Kluyveromyces lactis: one gene and its partner. The protein of the gene in region 2 purifies or fractionates together with the protein of the main gene of each other region. This does not show direct contact. Links are inferred from orthologs where the notes say so. Each region holds a gene or a part of one and is shown on either strand. Other genes may lie near its edges.

What was found.
Region 1: the proteins of MYO1 (region 2) and ACT1 purify together in Saccharomyces cerevisiae (affinity purification with mass spectrometry; 3 studies listed by BioGRID, with this or other methods). This does not show direct contact. The link is inferred for Kluyveromyces lactis from reciprocal best matches to the Saccharomyces cerevisiae genes MYO1 and ACT1.

The regions. Positions count from the first base shown.
Region 1 is NC_006040.1:460,048-464,189, forward strand, and holds ACT1 (actin), read left to right. Parts: upstream 1-1,678; coding exon 1,679-1,688; intron 1,689-2,468; coding exon 2,469-3,586; downstream 3,587-4,142. Other genes in the region: Rab family GTPase YPT1, read left to right, coding at 1-63; SND2 (Snd2p), read right to left, coding at 379-924. UniProt on the Saccharomyces cerevisiae protein: Actins are highly conserved proteins that are involved in various types of cell motility and are ubiquitously expressed in all eukaryotic cells.
Region 2 is NC_006041.1:1,021,604-1,026,221, forward strand, and holds the start of MYO1 (myosin 1), read right to left. Parts: upstream 2,916-4,618; coding exon 1-2,915. Other genes in the region: KLLA0_E11617g (F-box protein), read left to right, coding at 3,625-4,618. UniProt on the Saccharomyces cerevisiae protein: Required for cell division.

The DNA of each region.
Region 1 (4,142 bases), on a different chromosome or scaffold from region 2:
GACAAGTCCAACGTCAACTTAAAGGGCCAATCATTGACTGGATCCAATGGTGGTTGTTGCTAAATTGGATAGCATCATCGCTATGTTACTATACACTAAGTGTCTGAAAAATCAGGAACTGAATTTAAGAACTGTCTGATAATTACCATATTTCGAAGAATTAATATCCCGTATACATCACAAACAACATTAAGCACCATTTGCCCCACATAGCTTTAACGAAAGAGCCGGTGGTTGTCTATTTAGAGCCTATTATAGTTAGACTTAATTTCAATTACAATCATTATTCCTTTCTTTCTTACTTTCTCTATATATAAGAGAATGTATTCGTAGATATATGATGGATATAGTATATACAACCCCTTCTCTAACATTAATCTATCGGTATCTTACCTGAGATTTATCACCACGTTTTTCCCTCTTCAATTGTCTCTTTGATTTGGAAGGTTCAGCGGGCGTTGTCTCTGCGAGATCCGCCTTTGAAGCTGAGGCACCGGGGAAATACTGTTGCTTCAAGTAGTACAACTTGTAGAAAATAAACGCAGGGCACACTAATACCAAGAACCACCATTTCATCGTGTTGAAGAAAACTGTTCCCAGGTTACAGAACAAGGAAACATACACGATATCTTTCATGTATTCAGTGAGTCCACCAGATTCCAAATCGAACCCTTCATTAACTAGTTTATATTTTCCATGCGCAGCGTTACTGACTTCATATTTTGGTCTACCGGTACGTTCGAGAATATATAAACATAACAACATCGGCACATTGAAAAGAATAGGTTTTAGGGTTGAAATCAGCCCATTACTGAACCATTTCCTCAATAACGTTAAAGATAGTATAGCGACGACTAGTACGTGCAACTGCTTTAAGATGGCTGCGTTCTTTGCAGCAATCTTCTTGGACGATTTTCCAGCCATTCTACAATGGGTGGGTGAGATTCTTCAGAGATAGAGATAGATGTACATAAATGTACTGTCGAATATTAACCTGATCTATTAATACCTTCCCGTTGCTTCAATGATAGTTGATGATGATCCACGTAACATATATTCACGTATAGATTTCAACTGCCGAGTCATTATAATCCGGGTAACGTACATATATGTCACGTGATTTTGAATATACACATTAATATACGGAGGATTAAGACGATATGCGGTCATAATGAATTGTAAAATAAACCAGATGTACTAACATCCAGAGATCGATAACTGCCTCATGAATACAATATACTACGATATAACTATTCTACCGACAGCCTACCAACGTTATATCAAACTTCCAGCCTTCACAAAGCCTTCAATTGCAAGTCCGCCCCTCCAGCTGTACAGTGAATCCCACGTAACCACTAGAAAACCATTACCGCAACTGCTCCGCCTCGTGGACAATGACAATCGTCTCCTATTTTTCATCAGAATTCTTTTTTTTTTTTTAATTTGTTTTTTCGAAATTTTCTCTTCTGTTTCTCTGGACAGCTAGTGCGATTTATTGTATGAGAGAGTTTGAAATTTGATTTAATTTACAAGAAAAATAAGAAATATCTTGATTTGTTTCCTCCTTCTTTACTGTCTTTTACGATCCAAAGAGAAGAAAGGTTGTTTCAGAATAACGGTTTTTTTGTTGATTGCAAAAGGAATTGTACAACATCTTCACGCGCTATAGTATAACAATATGGATTCTGGTATGTGTGGAAACGTATATTTGATTACGGTGGGTTAATTGGGTGGTTAAAAAGTTTGGATATGTTTTATTACTTTGTTAGGTTTCCGGTTAAATGTTGGGAGGGAAAAGATAGGATAATGGCAGCGCTTTGCGCTGCCATTGTCCATTCTCTAACTCCCTAAATCAGATTTAGAATTAGATGTACAACGCTAATTGAATGGGTTTTTTTTATATATAGGGGTTTGGATTAGAAGCTTTGTTCGAGAATTGGATCTTTCATTTCCTGGTTCTACCTTCTTACTATAACGTGTTTTTCTTGGGTTTTGGGTGACTAACTTTGGATTTTGGGTTTTTTTTACCTGATTTAGGAGGCGAATTGGAAAGAAATTTGGAAAATATAGGCAAAAAAAGATAATTTGATGTCACGTGATGATGTGATTTTATATTACAATGTTATTCCTTCCAGTCCAAGAAGGAATCAAAGTACACCTTTAAGTGGTGCAGGCATTGCCCCTCGTGGTTCGGTTGTCCCTATTTTTTTTTTGATTTATTTTTCTGGTTGCTAAGGTTAGCCCCTATTTTGTCCGCGACAGGACTTTTAGCGTTGAACAATCACATAACCTCATGATCACCCAAAATGCACCTGTTACTTTTGTTTTCTTATCTTATGTTACTAACAATTATTTTTCTATTTGGGATGGCTGAATTCACTTTTTTGGAACACCTAACCTACCCAAACGTACGGTTTAGTTCCTTAATCTGCATTCTGCTACTCGTGATGGTTTTTTATTCTAAACAGAGGTCGCTGCTTTAGTTATTGACAACGGTTCTGGTATGTGTAAAGCCGGTTTCGCCGGTGACGACGCTCCAAGAGCCGTCTTCCCATCCATCGTCGGTAGACCAAGACACCAAGGTATCATGGTCGGTATGGGTCAAAAAGACTCTTACGTTGGTGACGAAGCTCAATCCAAGAGAGGTATCTTGACTCTACGTTACCCAATTGAACACGGTATCGTTACCAACTGGGATGATATGGAAAAGATCTGGCATCACACCTTCTACAACGAATTGAGAGTTGCTCCAGAAGAACACCCAGTTTTGTTAACCGAAGCTCCAATGAACCCAAAGAACAACAGAGAAAAGATGACTCAAATCTTGTTCGAAACTTTCAACGTTCCAGCCTTCTACGTCTCTATCCAAGCTGTTTTGTCCTTGTACTCTTCTGGTAGAACCACTGGTATTGTGTTGGATTCTGGTGACGGTGTTACCCACGTTGTTCCAATCTACGCCGGTTTCTCCTTGCCTCACGCTATCTTGAGAATCGACTTGGCTGGTAGAGATATCACCGACTACTTGATGAAGATCTTGGCTGAACGTGGTTACTCTTTCTCTACTACCGCTGAAAGAGAAATCGTCCGTGACATCAAGGAAAAGCTATGTTACGTCGCTTTGGACTTCGAACAAGAAATGCAAACTGCTTCTCAATCATCCGCTGTTGAAAAGTCTTACGAATTACCAGATGGCCAAGTTATCACTATCGGTAACGAAAGATTCAGAGCTCCAGAAGCTTTGTTCCATCCATCTGTTCTAAGTTTGGAAGCTGCTGGTATCGACCAAACTACTTACAACTCCATCATGAAGTGTGATGTTGATGTCAGAAAGGAATTGTACGGTAACATCGTCATGTCCGGTGGTACCACCATGTTCCCAGGTATTGCTGAAAGAATGCAAAAGGAAATTACCGCCTTGGCTCCTTCTTCTATGAAGGTCAAGATCATCGCTCCTCCAGAAAGAAAGTACTCTGTCTGGATCGGTGGTTCTATTTTGGCCTCTTTGACCACTTTCCAACAAATGTGGATCTCAAAGCAAGAATACGACGAATCTGGTCCATCCATCGTTCACTTGAAGTGTTTCTAATCTCCTTCACTTTTTTTTACTTGACACTCTTATAAAAAGAATACAATTAAAATAAACGATGAATCGATTCATATAGATGAACCCAAAAATTGAAGCTTATGAAACAAAAAACTAACAATTATTAAAACTTCATATAGGGACGATTTTACTCCAAATCTTCTTTGTTTTTATAATTTTGTTTTGTGTGTTGTTTTTATTTATCTTCGATCGCACAGTCATTATTCAAGTTCCAATCTTCTATCTTATGTTGTTGGAATATTCTACTTCATATAAATGAAGTGGGTAGTTTAGTATGAAAGTTAATAAGTTAATAAGCCGAGATTATATACGAACGAAATTCAAATTCAACATTAAAATTAAACAACTCCAATTGAAAGTTATATACGGCAATTATTGAATATTCGTGCGAGGCTAATTGCTTAAGTTGATCATCTGATAATTTGAAAAGGATTTAAAATCATCATATGTTCCAGAACAAAGATTTTTAGTGTTGAAAGTTATTCTTAGTTTATGAAATAGTAAATTATTTAATATGTACAATAGATAAACAAGACTA
Region 2 (4,618 bases):
GACATCGTCTTCTCTTGAATCTCTTTCTTCAAATCACTAATTTCCCTAATTAATTTATCTTTTTCGGAGTCTAAAGCACGCTCGTCATTCTTTACAACATCCAACTTATTCTTAAGTTCATTGACTGTAATCTCCAGCTTTTCTTTATCATGGGACAACTCTCTAAACTTATCTTCTGATAAATCGGAAGCATTTTTCGTCTTTTCTAATTCAAGGCGTAAATTATCAGCTTCTTTAGATAATTCGAGGTTTTCAGTTTCCAAAGAGTCTTTAATTGACAGAGTTTCATCCCATTTTTGTTGAATTTGAATTTGCTTTGTCTTGGTAGCCTCAAGAAGTTCTTGCGACTGTTGTAGTTCACTAGTTTCTTTTAACAATAATGCTTTAACTTTTTCTAACTCTTGTTCCACCAGCCTCTTTGCATCTACCATAACCGTCGTACTTTTTTCGCTCTCTGCTAGCTTGTTTTCGAGTTGTTTGACTTGTTCAGCTATTTTTTTAGTTTTCAAGATGGTATTCGAAGAGTCTAAAAGCGGTAGCAATTTCATGTATAAATTGTACCATGGATTTTCCATGAGCCTGTCATAGGTTTCAAAAGTTACCTTTAAGATCCTTGCAGCCTGTAATTTCTTAAGATGACTTCTGATTTCTTTCCTGACTGAATTAGCAGATATTATAGCATTTAACCTAGTAACAGCTGCACTCAAACGCTGTTCTTTCAGCAGTTCAAGGTTTGCTAATACACCAGCTTTGAAAAACAGCTTTGTGTTCCCGACCTTGTAAATTGTTGGATCCAGGTGAAGTGATGATAACAGTATTTCACAGTTCTTTTTGGAGTTGTTAGTGAATCTACACTCATCTGAAAGAATTTTGTATCTTTGGAAAAATTCCTTGAAGAATATTCTGTTGGGATAACCATCCCTAGCAATTCTTATTCCTTCAAGAACACCGTTACACCGTAATTGATCTAGAATAAGCTTCTTATCAAAATCACCTGCCTTTTTCTTGTTGTTTGGAATTATACAACGAACGAAATGGGGATCCGTATTGCCAAGCTGTTCAATGAGTGTATGGAGCTGTTCCCTATGTTTGTTAGATGATGTCCTAAAAGAACTGCCTCTAATGCGATCTGCGAAAAATTGTGATACCAGAGGGTTCGCACAATCATTGAGTACCTGCAATAAATTTTCATTTAAAGGATCTTTATTCTTTGATAGCCAATCAGTAACGTTGTATTCAACATCACCTGCATAATGCTTTAGTATAAAGCAGTTATCCAGCTTAGACCTTTTGAATTTAGTGGATTTATTATCCCAAGATGAAAGTAATTTCGAATAAAAAGAGGCATCTGAAGATTTTGGTAAGATCGATTCTTCTTCTAAAATCGGTAGTATACCTGGAATGCTGCTGTTTTTCTGTTCAATTAAATCAATTGTGGTTTGTAAGTCTTTGCCATAATCGATGAAATTCCATTGGATGTCTTCCTTTTGATATTCATTTTGTTCCAATACAAACATATGATGATTGAAAAACTGTTGTAATTTCTCATTTGTGTAATTGATACATAGTTGTTCGAAAGAATTATCTTTGAAAATTTCGAACCCAGCGATATCCAATAATCCAATAAAATATTCAGTCATCGATCCATGCTCTAAACTCTTGTTAATTTGATTTACAATATATTCGAAAAGCTTCTCATATAATGATCGGGATAAAGAGTTAAGAATTGACCTTGCCTGTGAGGCATTTTTGGCTTGTGATACCCATTCTTTACCAGCCTTTGATTTAGGTTTTAGAACAGCTGACTTGAAATCGTCTTCCTGAACTCCTAGAAGTTTACACAAGGGTTTGATATCATTTTTAATGCTGGCTTGTTCTGACCTCTCTGATACAAACTCAACGTTACCGATGTGCAATATGATAGAAATACATTTGAGAATGGATTGAATGTCATCCTTCGTAAATCCAACAGTTTCAAACGCGGATACAAGTTCCTGATAATTTTGACCATCGTCAATACCTGGAATTGATGGGTTGGAATGTCGTAGATACTGGTAATCAACGATGGAATTCGATTCTAATCCAATAGCCCGTAACTCTTGCTTCGACATGCCAGATAATATTTGATAAAAAATATGGTAGTTTCTTTCCCTGGCATGAGCTTGTATAACTCTTGATTTCTCCAATAGATACCATTCGATATGTGCTCCATTGATCTTACCATATTCGTCGAAATCGATCTTAATGAATTTACCAAAACGTGAGGAATTGTTATTGCGCACCGTTTGGGCGTTACCGAAGGATTCTAAAATTGGGTTTGATTGTAAGATTTTCCTTTCAAACGATTCGTTCGTCTGATTTAATAAAATCTTATCATCCGTCGTAATGGATGCCAAATATTGTAAGATTTTTTTTGTATTCTCTGTTTTACCAGCACCTGACTCACCGGTAACCAAGATCGATTGATCCTGCTTTTGATGCAAAAGATTCTGGTAAGCCTGTTCAGCGACAGCGAAGATATGCGGTTTATTATCCTCCTTCGGAGATCCATGGTATAATTTGATATAGCTGTTACTATATATCTTGATATTACTGTATGGGTTAATGGCCACTAAAAATAATCCTGAATAAGTGTAAATCAAATCATCTTGGTACCTGTTCTGTAAATTGAAAAGAACAGAAGCTTCATTAAGATGCGTCAATTCAGACAAGTCGTCCACTTTATCAAAGGTAGAAGGATTCACCGAGGCTACATCGTCTTCGGAAAACTCTGTTTCCTTACCATTCACACTAACCACAGCAACCGCTTGTTCCTGGCCTTGCTTATTCTTAACCACTTTCCGCTCTACCAATTGACCTTGAACAAAAACCTCTCGTTCATCAGATACCCATACTTTTTCCCTCTGTTGACTCATGTTTTCCTAACAGCCTCGTACCCAAATTGAGTTTACCTGTAATTTGGTCAATGAGGCTACGTTATTGGAACCAGAAGTCAATATCAATGCTCTTCAATTGAATTTATTCATGCAATTGAGACCGCTAGTGTTTGTTATTGATTCCAGTTGTTCTTGATGTTTATGTTTTTTTTTTGTTTACAAAACAATTAGAGATCAGAAAAGGGAATTGATACGTAAAGTAATTTGAGGTCACGTGGATTTTGTTTCATGAAGCCCATACACATGCTAAAAAGCTTATATGTGTAGTTGAACAGTATATACGTTGCTGTTTTTCATGCTTTTAGGTACTGGCCCTTGTTAATCCTGGGACAATGAATATAGTAGATGTGGCACGTCTGTGGCACGTCTGGGTCACTTAGTTATTCACTTTCCCGGTGTATTTTTCAACACCCATAATACGAATTAGGTTAAAATAGGTGAAAAATGTCAACTACTGAGAATTTATTCCTAGTCGTTATTGCACCTAGCCGTTCGAAAATAAGGTGTAGTCATCAATATAGTTTGTTGTTCGTTAGCATCATTGTATGTTTTTAGTGTTGTTGTGTGTTTCGCTTAGAGTTCCGTGTAGACGCAGGATTTTTCAGTTCTAAACGTCAATCAAGTATATGCTGGACATATATAAGATTGAAACTAGCTTGTGACAGTTAAAACGGTTCAACCTTTCAAGATGATGTTCGAAAGTACTGGTAACGATCGTGTTTCCTATGCGCACTTGAGCAGACGTGATATTATGGCACGTTATTTCAATCTTTCTGCACCAGTCGGCCATGCAGGTGTGCCGCTTCCGAAGCATGTGATTGCAAAACACGACGACAGCAATGTTGCAGATGATAATTACACCTCTGCTGTTAATAATACCACAAAGAATGATGAATTTATTCTTAGTGAAAAGATATTGAATTTACCCATTGAAATTAAGGTTAAAATTACCAATAATTTGAGCCAATATGACTTGGTGAATTTAGCATCGGTATCGAAATCTTTTTATGACGCGGCGATGTTTTCTTTGTACGAAAATATCGTGGTAGATACGTCATACTCTATATTGAACGATTCGTTGAGAACGGACAAGAATCAACGATGTACTTATATCAAGACGAAGTACAATTTAAAGAAGTTTATGAAATCGTTATCACAGGATGAAATACAAACTGCGTTCCCCTTAGGGATATTGGTAAAAAGTCTCAAAATATATTCTTTGCCCGATGGGGTCTCGAATATGGAAATTGTGAATTTCGTTCATAGATCCATCAATTCGTTGACGAGACTATCATGTTTGTATTGGGAAAGCGGGTCACGGAAATTGCCCTTGGACACATTACAATATTTACCCAATAAAAAAGAACTTACCTCGTTAGCGATAAATCTTGATTTATCGAAATGTACCGAGGCAGATATACACTTCCCGCAACTTGAGCGGCTCTCAGTGGTTCCATTCAATAATTCGGATACGTTGTGCAAATTTATGCAGCAGATTTCGATAGAGACCATTGCAGATCGGATAAAAGTGTTACAATTGAAAAGACAATTACCTTCAATGAAACAGATAACAAGAAATAATTTGAATTTGGGTCAATCACTTATAGTAACGAAATACATGGTAGAAAATAACCTGGCAAGACCAGACTCTGTGGAAACTGATAAGAGTATAAATCAAAGTA